Struthio camelus: one gene and its partner. The protein of the gene in region 2 purifies or fractionates together with the protein of the main gene of each other region. This does not show direct contact. Links are inferred from orthologs where the notes say so. Each region holds a gene or a part of one and is shown on either strand. Other genes may lie near its edges.

Region 1 (7,283 bases), on a different chromosome or scaffold from region 2:
ATCACAGGTTAAGGCTCCGAAGGAAAGCCTGGCATGCCTGCATGCCCCATCCTTTGCCATGGGTGAAGCAATCGACTGACCAAAATCCTGAAGCAGGAATTGCAGATTAACAATTTTACTCAGCAGTGTTGTCAACGCCTTACGCAGAAGACTTGGGGAACGGCTTAGCCCTGGCTTTTCAACGCTTGCACAGTTGGGGGCATACTACTAACGCAATCAAAGCTCAGTTAAACTCTGCGTTGCCTTAAATATTATGGACAGCTTCACGTTTCCTTAGCAGGAGGCCTGTTTCACCCGTCGGTGAAGCAGGAGCAGCTCTCGGCCCGAGGCAGCCACCTGCACGGCCTGCATCCTCTGCCCTCGCAGCGCCGGCAGCAGCAGGCTGCAGCTGTAGGGGCCTGCATGAAGCAATCCTGGCCCGGGTACCATCTGCTACTGCTGCTTAATGGGCCATCATCCAGTCACGAAGCCGCTGGTGCTCCGCTCTGCGGGGGGACCGCGGCAGTAGAGCAGAGGTGTACCAAGTCTCATAAATGCAGGCAACTCTATTAGGAGCGCCTGAGAAGCCACAGGAAAACAATAATAAAGTTTGCAAACACTCATCGCATAGAGTTAAAATCAACAAAGTACGCGAAGTCATTTAGGCTTTGTTCCCTACGTGCTTTTATGCTACTGCGCTGTAAGATGAGAACTACAGTTGCCAAACTGGAGAGCACGTACAAGCCCACTAGGGCTGTATGACTTTATGACAAATTCCACCTGTGTTCATTTGCCTTGCTTGGGGCTTTGCAAAAGATGGCAGCTTTTGTCTGATATTCTTCAGCTTACCTGAAAACGTGCTTAAAGCAACTCTATAGCCGCGTTTAAGAAACCTGTTGATGGGGTTTTTCTTGGCAACTTCTTTGGGAGAGATTCAGGATGAAATCAAATTATGTTTCACTGAGAGCCTCACCAAGACTTCAGGTGATCAGTGATCTTTGTATGAAATTTTACTCTAAGTCATGCAGCGAATTAAATACATTAATGACATAAAAATTATGAAAACGTAACTGTAAAAATCCATTTAGAGTGAGAGGCAGTATCTTTTACTGGGCAGAGTTGTACAGTTCTTCACCTCTCAAGATCTGGAAAATGGTCTAGAAAATCCATTTGATGAAAGAGACTGATTTTTTCCTACAAACTGTGTTTCACAGCTACGAAATCACTGCTATTAAAGTTAAACCTAAACGGGCAACACTTAAGCAAGTTCTGTTTTAACCAAAGCTAAACACCAGAGTCGCACGACAGGGTTACAAATTGCATTTGAGGTCCTCCTTTACAGGGGGATTTTGCCTACAAGCAGGACTTCCACTTTTGGGCAACAGACTATGTTGTGCATCGTACTAATACGTTTAACGTTTGACCGAAACGGGTCCTAACTTTCCTTCGTTGTCTGTTTGGCTTGGGTGGACTTCTCCTTTAAACAGTCAATGCTTCTTTTAAGCTCAGAGCCAATTTACACAGGGTGGCATTTGCATGTTCCACCTCTGAAGCAGACACGTGTTCGTCAGTGTTTGCCCTCTTTACCTCCTGCCAGAAAACAAGCCGTCTGTGTTTTAAATAAAGCCAATATTCATGTTAGTTCTTCAGCTTCTCTGAGATTAACTCATTAAGGAGGTCAATAGACCCTCTGTTCCTCAGCAGCAAGGGTGAGGTTTCCCGCTCTGAACGGGGGCTTTGTGCGCGCGCCACAAATAAACCGGCACTCTTCGGGGTTTAATACCCCGTTAAAAGCAAAAACTGGTAAAAACTGTCACAATAGGCAGGTCAGGAATAAAACTCTCATTAGGAGTTTGTTTCTGTCCCGCCACGTTTTGCAGCACAATCTTTCCAAGCAGCATCGCGAGCGGGGAACAAAGCGAAAGCAGAAATCCACGTCTCGGGGAGGGGGGGGTGGTCATTATTATCGTTTTGCTCCCTTTCGTGCCGATACAGATTATGTCCAGCAGGTGTTCTTCCTCCCAGAGCTCGATCTAGCCTGGGGGGAACTGAGTCCAACTGCCTGAACATTTCACCAGCGTCCAAACGGAGCGGCCCGTATCCCCAGCACCTTGCAAGCAAACTCTAGGCTACGTCTTACAGCCTGAAGAAAAACATCATACATACAGCACACTTTCTGCCATAACACTGGACGTTTCCTTTTCCTCTTACTTTTGGGACCCATAAGAAACACGGTTTGCGCTTACAGTCTCTCCAAAGGGCTCCGGTTGCAAGGGGAGGCACGAGGGGTAGCAGCGACCGCAAGCCTCCGCGCCCTGGACAGTACCTATCCAATCGCAAAAAAACTCCTGCAGCCCCATTGGTCCTCAAGCTCAGCACTGCACTTCGATATCCAATGGCAAAATCATGCCGGTGACAGTGCTAATCCGGCGGCGGCCCCTCCGGGGTGACTTACCGAAGAGGGAGAGGATGCCGCAGGCGGCCCAGACGGAGAGGGACATGCCCACGCTGCCCGTGTTCTGCAGGATCCCCTTGGGCGAGATGAAGATGCCGGCGCCGATGATCGTGCCGATGATGATGGATATCCCCCTCAAAAGCGTCACCTTCTGCTTCAGCACCACTTTCTCCTCCTGGGCCGGCTGCTCGCTGTCCAGGGAGGGCAGCCTGCCGTTGGGTTGCCCCCGCCAGTAGTTTCCATTAGAGGCTGCAGTCACAGCAGCTTTCCTGAACATGCTACAGTGCCCCCAGCACAGCCAAGGCAAGCGCAGGCAAAAAGTTTGTAGCACAAACTCAGGGTCGTTGTTAGGGTGGTGTTTTTTTTTTTTTTCCCCTCCCTTCCTCCGTGTGAAACGAACCACTTGGTGCCTGCCTCCTGTAGCTGCCCCTGCACCCAGGTAGGAGGCTCCCGGTGCCTGCGGTCGGGGGAGCCCTGCTCAGCAACACCTGCGCTTGCACGCTGCTGGCTGGTCCTGCCCTATCGTTGGAAACCAGCTCGGCTTCCGCGTGGACTTGTATTTAAGCTCTTGTCATACCAAGTTACTCCAGCTGAATGATGATGCAAATTCTCCAGGTTTGCATCAGCCATTTGAGAAACCTCTGGCATTACTCAGCATTTCTCTCTCTCTCTCTTTTTTTTTTCCCCCTGAAACGGTAGGGGCATGTTGCACAACCGACCTGCGCGTGGTGGGCAGGACAAAGCGCTCGCAAGGAAACGGAGCCAGCTGAGCTGCGCGCACCGCCGGCGACACCCGGAGACACGCTCCCAAATTTTTAAAGCAACTCGCAGGCAGAAACAAAAGCCTGCCTAAACACAAGGCTGGTCCGAGCGCAAGGGGAAAAGAAATCAAACAGGCTACGTCAGCTCTGGGTCTTTTCCAGCTTCTTCCGCCAAAAGCTCCTCTTAGTGAAATTAAAGTTTGCGGGGGTCTAACTTTTTGTTCTGTTGCAATCGATTAGCTTACCTCAAGTCTACGTTACTCACCTGGAAAGGCGCACGAGGACTGTAAGTATCTACAGGCGGAGCCCACGTAAACCCTCGTTACCCCGCGTTGCCTAGCAACACGCCCGAATCGGGCTAATGAAAAATCTCGGTTATTTCCATAGTACAGCAATTTTCATACGTGCAGTGTTTCTGGGATGTTTGTAAGCCGCCCGGCAGCGACGCTTCCCCTTAAGAAACCCTGTTAACGTTTACAGCAATACCTTTTTTACGATGTGACAGGACGAGGGCAACGCAACAGAGCACAGGATCTGCAGGCACTCAGAAACCAGTGATTTTCGAGTTATCCTAGAGCTTCTCTGACTGGATAAACGGGTAATCAGATGCATAAATACTTTTCTCTCGCTACCCAACAATTCAAACGCAAGCAGGAGAAATTAAACTGTTTAAAAAAAACACTCTCATAAAACAGAACAAAAATCAATAGCCTCCAAGCACTTGTAGCCTAGTCAAGGGACAGCCTGCGCAGTATATGCCAAAGGGGAAAAATCCTTCGTAGCATAACTACTGCAGCTGCTCAAGGCTTCAGATTAGATCAGTGCAAAGAGAAATGATTGCTGCAGTTACTGCTCTTACAGTTACCGCTTAATTAGGACCCAGGATTACAACAAGAAAAAAAGAGAGAGAGATAGCAGTTTGACATTTTGTCATTTGAAAAGGGAGCACTGAGCTCAGAGCACAACAGTGCCTTCAGATTTGTTTGAGAAACAGGAGATAACTGGAGCATCAACACGCTGCATCTGTGAAACCTCAGTGTTTTTAAAGCCTCCTGTAATAATTTACTCGGGGATAGGACAGAGCATTAGAAAGCTTACATGGTTTAAATGTACACAGGCACAAAGTGATTTTAGCTTTTGAGTACATGCTGCTTCTGCTTGCCTGTTTTCTGAACACATCCTATTTCTTCCTCCTCCATCTGCTCACGTGCTCAGCAGCTGATCCTGCACATCTCCACCTAGCTTCTCCTCCTGGTCCTCAGGGCACCTGGTGCCAGACCCATCAGAGAAGCCCAGACCGGCTGCAGCCAGGACTGCCTCTTCTCACCCAACGGCCCAAACCAAGCCAATTTTCATGGTGCCAGATAAATCCCAAGCCATGAGTAGGTGGTGTGCTATGCAGAATTGTTTTCCCTTGATGTACACTTGATAGGCTGTCCCCTTAGAAGGTTATAAATGCCTGAGCTAAATAACTAGATCAAATCAAACCAGGAAAAAGCATTAACCACAGAACTGGGCTTGCCTGATGACCTTTATTTTAATTTTCAAAGGCTGCTTACTGAAGAAGCACATGACATCTTAAAACATCTAATAATTTAAGTTAATCATTCTTGACTAATGCTTATCCTTTATTTAAATGGGACGGCAGTTCCAAGATCAAATCAGAAGTTCAATAAGCTTCCAGACGATCCCGAGACGGCTCCCAGCAATCCAGGCGTCCACACCAGCTATTAAGTAAAATCACTGGATGCGGTAACGGCTTTCAAATTCTGTTTGACCACTAGCCAGAAGCACGTAAAAATGCTCTGAACCCACGTTTGCCCATCGGACACAGCTATTAACACTCTCCCGTGTGGGGAAAAGGGTGCTGGCTTCCTCTGTGGGGCAGGGATATCACACATGCAAAGTTTAAGGCTATGTGAACTTCTCACTGAATTTTCTAAAGTGCAAATTAGGCTGGATGCAACAAACTCTTTTTTTTCTAAATACTGGCAGCTTCCTAGGGATCACGCTGTTTTGCAGCTTTCCCGGTGGCAACTGTTGCATAGACCTCTTTCTCACTGCTGACTGCTAAAAATGAATAAAGGTTTAAAAAAGAAGTGGGGGGAGGGGGAAGCACTTTTTGTCCTCTGAGTTCAAACCTATCAGCACCATCCCTTTGCAGGGAATATTCATCTGGTTTTAGGTGACTCCTTGTTGCTTTCTGGAAATTTCATGAGAATTATCTGCCACTGGAGCCCTATCCCAAGGAGGGCACAAAGCCAAAGAGGCCCATTGCTGCGTGCTGCCCCACATTATCCAATACCCTCCCAAAATCTGATCGAATTATTTGTAGTCCCTGATACTCTTCCCACCAGCTACTTTCATCCGAATTATTCAGCACAGAGCAAGGGGCCGTAGCATCGCGACGCAAACACACGCCGCGTTCAGTGTGCTTTCACAGAGGGCTCTTCTGAAAGCGCAGGGCTTGACCTGCCCAAACCTCAAAACAGTCGCGTTCTTCCACAAAAATCTGCCATGGAAGCAAAAGATACATGGCATAAATTACTGCAGACTGATAAATACATTTGAAGCAACGACGGATTCTTTCCTAAATAGGATGCTCTGAAAATAAAATTTCAGCCTCTAACGGCAACCGGCACTGTGCACAGCCTTTTAACGTTTCTCTCTGTTTTTTCCCCATTTCATAGATGTGTTCTCCTAAACAAACGCTTTAAAGCATGACCTAGATCATCGCTGTGCAACGGTCTCCTTTTGAACCTTCCCACCAGCGCTGAACTGTCCATCCGTTGCCTGTTTCAAAGAGAACTGCTAACCGAGAGCGGGCGCCAGCCTTCCTGCGCCTCCAGTCTGCAAAGAGCTGCAGTAAAACATCGCTCCGCTGCGCTGCTCTCCGGCTTTGCCAAGCACAGCTGCCTGCGCCGCTTGCCCCCTTCGTGGGGTATATCATGCTCTGACCTTTCTGCCGCCTGCGTTACCCTGTGCCTGCGAATAAAACGCTCAAGCACCGTGGGCAATAAAGTTACAGCAGCCTTACAGAGGCTGCAAATACCTAGTGCAGAGACGCTTCAGTTTTCCGCAGTCGTACAGCCGCTAACACACACTTTGACACTGTTATACTGCTCGTTTTGAAGAAGGAAGAATCCTGATATTTACCCCGGGGAAAACCTTTACGGGAATGTTGCAGCACCCACACAGCCAAGTAAAGGACCTAAAATTCAAGCCTGGACTTGAGTTTCTCAAGCCCACAAAAGCTGCTTAATTTCTAGGTGTAGCAAGCATACCTTGACAACCCTTCCAGGCATCTGTATATCAGCTTATTGCATCAAGTAAATCAAAAGAGTCACAAGTCAAGCCTGCAGGCCACCCACTGCCACAGTGGCTGGAGACACCCGACTTAAAAAAGGGAAGTATACCAAGACCAAAGAGGTGAGGAAAGCCCCAGACTCTTGTGTGGGTGGCATGGCATGAAAAGTTTCCTAAACTGAGTTGAGTCTTCTCGGTATAATTCTGAGCTGCGTGTGAGCCCAGAAAACCAGCCCTGTAGGAAGATGGTACTGCGGCTTCAAATGTCAGAGGAGGGCAAAACACCCTCCTTTAGGGGAGAGAAAAGGGGGGAGTGGGAAGGTGTCAGTGGGAATTAAGTTGGAATAGTATCATCATGAAGTACGTGAAGGTCTCACAGTAGATAAGACCCTTTTTGTGTCTTTTAATGAAAACCTGAAAATGTGAGAAAACTAAAACAAGTTGTTGTTCTCTCTACTACAAGTCAATGTTTTAGTTAAAAATTGAATTATTGACAATGTTGGGGTTTTTGTTTCTTTTTTACATTCTAGTCAGAGCTTAACAAATTACTCACTTAAGCATTTTACATTCCATTTTGTGCGCGATACCAAGAAGTTATTTAGAAGAAAAACAAAAATATGAGAAGGAATAAGAGACATTTCCAATTCAGAGGCTTTAGAATTAAAACAAAACCCTGTAAGAAATCCAAAAGCAATTCAAATATTATTTCATGTATTTTCAGTAAAATGCTTCCAACAAAATACCCATACAGCCAGCAAATAGAAATCCAGTTCCAAGAAGAC
Region 2 (7,540 bases):
GCGCGGCGGCGGCCGAGGCGCATTTGTTTGCCCCTCCTTTCCCCTCAGCTACGAAGTGCAGCTGGAGAGCAGAGTGCGGCGGAAAGGGCTGGGCAAGTTCCTCCTGCAGATCCTGCAGCTCGTGGCCAACAGGTGAGGGCGGCGGCGGCGGCGGCGGGCCGGGCGCGGGGCTGCGCGCGAGCTCAGCGCCGCTTGCTCTCCTCCTCCCAGCACGCAGATGAAGAAAGTCATGCTCACGGTATTTAAACACAATCACGGCGCCTACCAGTTCTTCAGGGAAGCGTTACAGTAAGCGCCTTCTCCAAACTCTCCTCCTTTTCCCTTTGTGTGTGTGTTGGTTCCCCCCCCCCTCCCCGTTCCTGCCTCTCTTTGCCCCCGGGACGGGAGGGAGGGCGCTCTCCGCTTCGCCGCCCCGCGGCGGGGCTGGCGCTCGCCCGCGTAACCCGCCGTCCGCCCGACTGTCTTGCAGCGCGCTGGCGACGTGGTGCGAGAGGGGGCCGGTGTAGACTTAGGATGGCGGGGAGATTTGGGTGGAGCGGTGCCAACGGCGCCGGCCGGCGGCTCGACGGCGGCCTGCAGAGGTGGGTGCGCGAGTCCCCGCGGCGCCGGCCGGCTCCGCGCCCGCCGCCGCCGCCCCCCGGGGCTGACGCCGCCGCCGCCGCCCCCCTGCCCGCAGGTTCGACGTGGACGACTCGTCGCCCAGCGTCTCGGGCTGCTGCGGCGACGACTGCTCCTACGAGATCCTCAGCCGGCGCACCAAGTTCGGCGAGGGCCAGCAGGCGCACGCCGGCGGCCACTGCGGCGGCTGCTGCCACTGAGCGCCGCCCTTCCTCCCCTCTCCTCCTCCTCCGCCGCGCCGCGGGGGCAGCTCCCGGGGAGGAAGCGGCCTCCGGCGCCTCCTCTGGGTGTTGGTTTTACTTTTTTATTTTTTATTTTGGGGTTTTTCCCCCCGTTTTTTCTCTGCCACCTCGCTGGAGTCGAAGGGATCCCACGTCCCCCCCCCCGGCCCTTTCCCCTCGGTTTTGTTTGTACGTTGCCAATAAAAACACTTTGTCAAGGCCTCGCGCTGGTGGCGCCCGCTCGGGGGGGGGGGGGGCAGGACGCCTGGGCCCCCTCCTCGCTCCCCCGAGGGGCTCCTGTGGGGTGCGAGGACTACGTTTCCCAGCAGGCCCTGCAGCTTTTGCCCCCCCCATGAAAGAGAGCTCCCAGCGTGCCCTGGGGTGGCCCCACAGTGTGTCCCAGCATGCTTTGCTTCCCCCCCCCCCCCAGCAAGGGGGAGCAGGGAGCGCTACAGGCGTGTGCTGGGACACGGGACCCGCCAGTGCAGGCGTGTGCTGGGACACGGGACCCGCCAGTGCAGGCGTGTGCTGGGACACGGGACCTGCCAGTGCAGGCGTGTGCTGGGACACGGGACCCGCCAGTGCAGGCGTGTGCGTGCAGCAGGGCCCCCCAGTGCAGGCGTGTGCTGGGACACGGGACCTGCCAGTGCAGGCGTGTGCTGGGACACGGGACCCGCCAGTGCAGGCGTGTGCGTGCAGCAGGGCCCCCCAGTGCAGGCGTGTGCTGGGACACGGGACCCGCCAGTGCAGGCGTGTGCGTGCAGCAGGGCCCGCCAGTGCAGGCGTGTGCTGGGACACAGGACCCGCCAGTGCAGGCGTGTGCGTGCAGCAGGGCCCACCAGTGCAGGCGTGTGCTGGGACACGGGACCTGCCAGTGCAGGCGTGTGCTGGGACACGGGACCCGCCAGTGCAGGCGTGTGCGTGCAGCAGGGCCCCCCAGTGCAGGTGTGTGCTGGGACACGGGACCCGCCAGTGCAGGCGTGTGCTGGGACACGGGACCCGCCAGTGCAGGTGTGTGCGTGCAGCAGGGCCCCCCAGTGCAGGCGTGTGCTGGGACACGGGACCTGCCAGTGCAGGCGTGTGCTGGGACACGGGACCCGCCAGTGCAGGCGTGTGCTGGGACACGGGACCCGCCAGTGCAGGCGTGTGCTGGGACACGGGACCCGCCAGCTCCAGGCAGGACCCACGAGCACACGGCTGGACACGGCACCCCCGGCGTGCGCGCAGGACCCACAGACACAGGCGGACACAGCTGGGTGCGGGGGACACGTGAGCAAGCTGCACGCGCAGCCACAGGCCGTGACCGGGAGACGCGGCGGGGCACGCGTGGGACACACAAACGCGGGCACGTGCCCAGCCGGACACGGGGAGGGCGCGCGAGCGCAGAGCCGCGCCACCGGGCAGGCGAGGCGTGGGGGGCGGAGGTGCGCCCGCAGCCGGGCACGGGGAGAGCGCGCGAGCGGGGCGAGGCAGCCGCACGGACGTGGGACGGGCACGCGGCGGGGGCCTGGCGGCGCGGGGGGGGGGGGGACACGCAACAACCCGCCGTGGCCACACGGAGGGCACGGGTGGGGCCGGGGTGCGCACGCCTGCACACGTATGACCGGGGTGGGGGGGGCAGGAGGGGGCGGGGCCGAGTCGAGGTGGGCGGGGCCGAGCGCGGAGGGGGCGGGGCTGAGCCAGAGGTGCCCAGAGGTGGGCGGGGCCGAGCCGAGGTGCGCAGAGGTGGGCGGGGCCGAGCGCGGAGGGGGCGGGGCTGAGCCAGAGGTGCCCAGAGGTGGGCGGGGCCGAGCGCGGAGGGGGCGGGGCCGAACCAGGGGTGCGCAGAGGTGGGCGGGGCCGAGCCGAGGTGCGCAGAGGTGGGCGGGGCCGAGCGCGGAGGGGGCGGGGCCGCGGCAAGGCGGGGGCGGGCGCGCGAGGGGGCGGGCCCTCGCCGCCCGGCCCCGCCCCTCCTTCCCTCCGCCCCCTCCCCGCCGCCGGCGGAAGTGACGCGCCAGCCGCCGCCACTTCCGCCCTGGCCGCCGCCATGCCGCTCGCCGCCCGCCTGGCCCGCGCTCTGCTGCGCCCCGCGGCCCGGCCCGGCCCGGCCCGGCGCGGCCTCGTCTCGGGGCCGCCGCAGCAGCCGCTGGGGCCCGCGGTGAGCAGCGGAGCGGGGAGGGGGGGGAGCCGGGGCCGGGGGGCGGCGGGGGCGGCGGGTGACCTTGGCGGCGGCGGCGGCGCTGACGGGGCTCTGCCCGCAGGAGACCGTCGTGGGCTTCGCCGCCATGTTCCTGAGCTGCCTGGGCCCGGCCGCCTGGGTGCTGGCGCACCTCGAGGACTACAAGAAGCGGGAGTGACCCCCCCTTCCCCCCCCCGCTCCGCCGCGACCCCCCCGCCGCTGCCGAGACCCTCTGCCGGCGCCGCACCGGCACCGAGGCCCCGGGACCAGCGCGACTCTGGAGCGGGGCTGCCGCGGGGGCACCGGCACCGCTGGGACCCCCGGACCCCCGTCAGCGCCTCTAGGACCCCCCCGGGGCCACCGAGACCCCTGTCAGCACCTCTAGGACACCACCGGGACCCCCATCAGCGCCTCTGGGACCCCCTGGACCACTGGGACCCCCATCAGCACCTCTGGGACCCCTCCCAGACCCCTGTCAGCACATCTAGGACACCACCGGGACCCCCATCAGCGCCTCTGGGACCCCCCGGACCACTGGGACCCCTGTCAGCGCTTCTGGGACCCCTCCCAGACCCCTGTCAGCACCTCTAGGACACCACCGGGACCCCCGTCAGCGCCTCTGTGACCCCCTGGGACCACTGGGACCCCCGTCAGCACCTCTGGGACCCCCCCGGACCACTGGGACCCCCGTCAGCGCCTCTAGGAACCACCGGGAACCTCATCAGCACCCAGGACCCTGTACCAGCTCTGCTGGGAACCCCACTAGACCCCTGTCAGCACCCAGGACCCCACACCGGGACCATCGGGACGCTGCTGGGACTGCTGGGACCCCCATCAGCACCCAGGACCCTGTACTGGGACCACTGGGACCCCCCCCCAAGACCACCAGAGCCCTCATCAGCACCCAGGACCCCACACTGGGATCACTGGGACCCCCCCCCTGGGACCACCAGGACCCCTGTCAGCACCCAGGACCCTGCACTGGGACTGCTGGGACCCCCCCGGGACCACCAGAGCCCCCATCAGCACCCACAGCCCTGCACTGGGACCACTGGGGTGCCGGCTCCCCCTCCCCTAATAAAGGCTGCTTGATGCTCTGTCTGTCTCTGCCTGTCTCTGCCCGGACACCGGGGTCCCTGGGGGTGATGTCACCTGGCCTCACTTTGAGGTCATTGGGTGACATCACAGCTCTGGAAAAGGGGGGGGGGGAAAGGGAGGTGCTTGGTTACCATGGTGAAGCTCAGCCCTTCTGGGGGGTGGTTGCTAGGGGATGAGGGTTGGTGCTAGGAGCAGTAGCTAGTGATGGGGGCTGTTGCTAGGGGTGGTTGCTAGGGGCTGTTGCCCACAGGGGTCGGGATGGAGAGCGGTTGCTAGGGAGTTCCAGGGGAGGGTGGTTGCCGGGGCGGTTGCTAAGGACCGGAGCCAGTTGCCAGGGGGCGGGGCGGTTGCCAGGGGCGGGGCCCGTTGCTAGGGGCGGGCCCGGCGGCCGGGCCCGGCGCGGGCGGCCGGAGGCGGTTGCTAAGGCGGGCCCGGTCGCCAGGGGCGGTTGCTAGGGGCCGGGAGCGCTTCCGGCGGGGCGGGCGGTGACCCGGAAGTGCTGCGGGGTGCGGGGCTGCAGCAGCAAGATGGCGGCGGAGGCGCCTCAGCAGAAGCCGGAGCCGCTGGGGGGGGACGCGGACGGTAACGGCGCCGCCGGGGAGGGCCGGGGGGGCCCGGCGGGACCCCGCGGCCGGTCCCCCCCCAGCGGGAGCCCCATCGCGCCCCGGTGACCCGCGGCCCCCCCGGCAGGGCCCCCCTCGGGGCCCCGTTACCCCCCGGGGACCCCCATCATGGCCCCCCCAATGCCCCAAACGAGGATCCCCGTAGCGGGGCGCAGCCCCCCCGTGGCCCCCCCATGGGAACCCCCCTCAATGGGGCCCCGGTACCCCCGTCCCCCCCCGGGCTCCCCCAATACCCCCACGGGGGCCCCGATGCCTCCCGTGGCCCCCCCAGCCCCCCAATGGGGCCCGGAGCCCCCTGGGGTCCTCAATACCCCCGATGGGGCCAGGACCCCCCTTATGAGGCCCTGGTGCCCCACGGACCCCCCCGCTGCCCCCCAATGGCGGCTCCGATACCCCCTGTGACCCCCCCCAACCGCCCTCGGGGTCCGGATCCTCCCCCCGGGGCCCCCAAAGCCCAACGGGGGCCCTGATACCCCACGGTGCCCCCCCAACCCCCCCTCGGGGACCTCGTTAATGGGGGCCCCGCTGCCCCCCTCCATCCACGGGGGTATTTGGGGGGGTGCAGGACCCCCCAAAAATGGGGCTGGGCCTGAGGGGGGGGGAAAACTCCTTGGTCCCTTTCGGGGGGGGGGGGGGGCAGCTCTGACCACCCCCCCCCCCGCAGGAGTGAACTGCCTGGCCTACGACGAAGCCATCATGGCGCAGCAGGACCGGATCCAGCAGGAGGTGAGGGCGGGGGGGCCCCAAATCCTCCCCCCGGGGGTCCCCCCAAACCGCTGCGCCCCCCTCCCGCCCCCGCCAAGCCGGGGGGAACCCCCCTCCCCCCCTCCCGCCGCCTTTACCGCGGGCTCCTCTGCGGTGGGGCGGCCGCGGACTACAGCTCCCAGCGTGCCCCGCGGCGGGGCAGGGCGGGGAGGCGGGGGTGGCGCCGCGGGGCACGCTGGGAGCTGTAGTCCGCCGCGGGGCCGCATCCTGACCCGCGGCGCCGGCGCAGATCGCGGTGCAGAACCCGCTGGTGTCGGAGCGCCTGGACCTGGCCGTGCTGTACAAGGAGTACGCCGAGGACGACCACGTCTACCAGGAGAAGATCAAGGTACTGGCGCGGCGCTGGGAGCCCCGTCGCGGCACCAGTGTGGCACTGGGAGCCCCCCTTGTGGCACTGAGAGCTTTCTCAGGGCACCAGTATGGTGCTGGGAGCCCCCGTTGTGGCACTGGGAGCCCCTTCAGGGCACCAGTGTGGCACTGGGAGCCCCCGTTGTGGCACTGGGAGCCCCATCACGGCACCAGTGTGGCACTGGGAGCCCCCGGTGTGGCACTGGGAGCCCCGTCACGGCACCAGTGTGGCACTGGGAGCCCCATTATGGCACTGAGAGCTTTGTCAGGGCACCAGTATGGTGCTGGGAGTCCCGGTTGTGGCGCTGGGAGCCCCGTCACGGCACCAGTGTGGCACTGGGAGCCCCCATTGTGGCACTGGGAGCCCTGTCAGGGCACCAGTGTGGCACTGGGAGCCCCATTATGGCACTGAGAGCTTTGTCAGGGCACCAGTATGGTGCTGGGAGCCCCCGGTGTGGCTCTGGGAGCCCCGTCGCGGCACCAGTGTGGCACTGGGAGCCCCCCTTGTGGCACTGGGAGCCCCGTCAGGGCACCAGTGTGGCGCTGGGAGCCCCGTCATGGCACCAGTGTGGCACTGGGAGACCCCGTTGTGGCACTGGGAGCCCCATCACGGCACCGGTGTGGCACTGGGAGCCCCCGGTGTGGCGCTGGGAGCCCCCGCGCGGCGCCGTGCCGCATCCCTGCGCTTCGCAGGGCGCCCCGCGTCGCCCGGGTGCGGCGGGCCGGCGTCACCGTGTCCCCGCGTCCCCAGGACCTGCTGCAGAAGTACTCGTACATCCGCAAGACGCGGCCCGACGGGAACTGCTTCTACCGGGCCTTCGGCTTCGCCCACCTCGAGGCCCTGCTGGAGGACAGCCAGGAGCTGCAGCGGTGCGCCCGGACGCCGGGGCCCCCCGGCTCCGGGGGGGGTCACCAGTACACTGGGGTCCCATGGGGGGGGGGATTGGGAGCCCCTGGACGCCTGGGTCCCCTGGGTGGGGGGCAGAGGGGTGGGGGGACCCGGCTGAGGGCCCAGGTGTCCGGGCTCCAGGTGAGGGCACCGAGGGGCTGGGCGGGAGCCTCGTTAGCGGAGCGGCTGCTAACGAGCCCCTCGTCACCCTGAGACGGGGCCCAGCTGGGCCCGGACGCCTGGGTGCGCTGGGAGGGAGGGGACGGGCTGCAGGGAGGGGGGAGATGGCCCCCCCCGGACGCCTGGGCCCCCCCCCCGGACGCCTGGGCCCCCCGGCCGTGGCGGCAGCCCCTCTCTCGGGCAGGTTCAAGGAGATCTCGGCCCGCAGCAAGGACGACCTGGTGGCGCAGGGCTTCACCGAGTTCACGATCGAGGACTTCCACAACACGGTGCGACACGGGGGGACACGGGGGGACACGGGGGGATGTGGGGACACGGCGAGGCTGAGGCTGCAGCTGAGACCGGGGCCGCTCGTGACACGAATGCGTGTGTGTGTGTGTGCGCCCCCCCGGGGACGTGCGTGGAGCGTCCCCACGTGATGCGCGTCCCCGCGTGACCCGCGTGGCGTGTCTGCGTGCCCGCGTGGCGCGTCACCCGCGTCACCCGCGCCCCCACGCGACGTCTCACTCGCGTCCTGGCGCGATGCTGGCGGCGTGTCCCTGTGCCCCGTGCGAGGCGTGTGCCCGTGACCCCGTGGTGCCCCGTGCAGCGTGTGCGTCTGTGCCCCGCGGTGCCTGGCATGACACACGCGCCCGGTGGC

Evidence for each region.
Region 1: the proteins of OTUB1 (region 2) and SLC7A11 purify together in Homo sapiens (affinity purification with western blotting; 5 studies listed by BioGRID, with this or other methods). This does not show direct contact. The link is inferred for Struthio camelus from reciprocal best matches to the Homo sapiens genes OTUB1 and SLC7A11.

Annotation. Positions count from the first base shown.
Region 1 is NC_090945.1:32,140,546-32,147,828, forward strand, and holds the start of SLC7A11 (cystine/glutamate transporter), read right to left. Parts: upstream 3,029-7,283; 5' UTR 2,712-3,028; coding exon 2,435-2,711; intron 2,279-2,434; exon of another isoform or gene 2,204-2,278; coding exon of another isoform or gene 2,146-2,203; intron 1-2,145. UniProt on the Homo sapiens protein: Heterodimer with SLC3A2, that functions as an antiporter by mediating the exchange of extracellular anionic L-cystine and intracellular L-glutamate across the cellular plasma membrane.
Region 2 is NC_090976.1:1,104,841-1,112,380, reverse strand, and holds the start of OTUB1 (ubiquitin thioesterase OTUB1), read left to right. Parts: upstream 1-4,483; 5' UTR 4,484-4,622; coding exon 4,623-4,677; intron 4,678-5,382; coding exon 5,383-5,444; intron 5,445-5,712; coding exon 5,713-5,811; intron 5,812-6,582; coding exon 6,583-6,701; intron 6,702-7,084; coding exon 7,085-7,169; intron 7,170-7,540. Other genes in the region: NAA40 (N-alpha-acetyltransferase 40), read left to right, coding at 49-132, 211-288, 677-818. UniProt on the Homo sapiens protein: Hydrolase that can specifically remove 'Lys-48'-linked conjugated ubiquitin from proteins and plays an important regulatory role at the level of protein turnover by preventing degradation.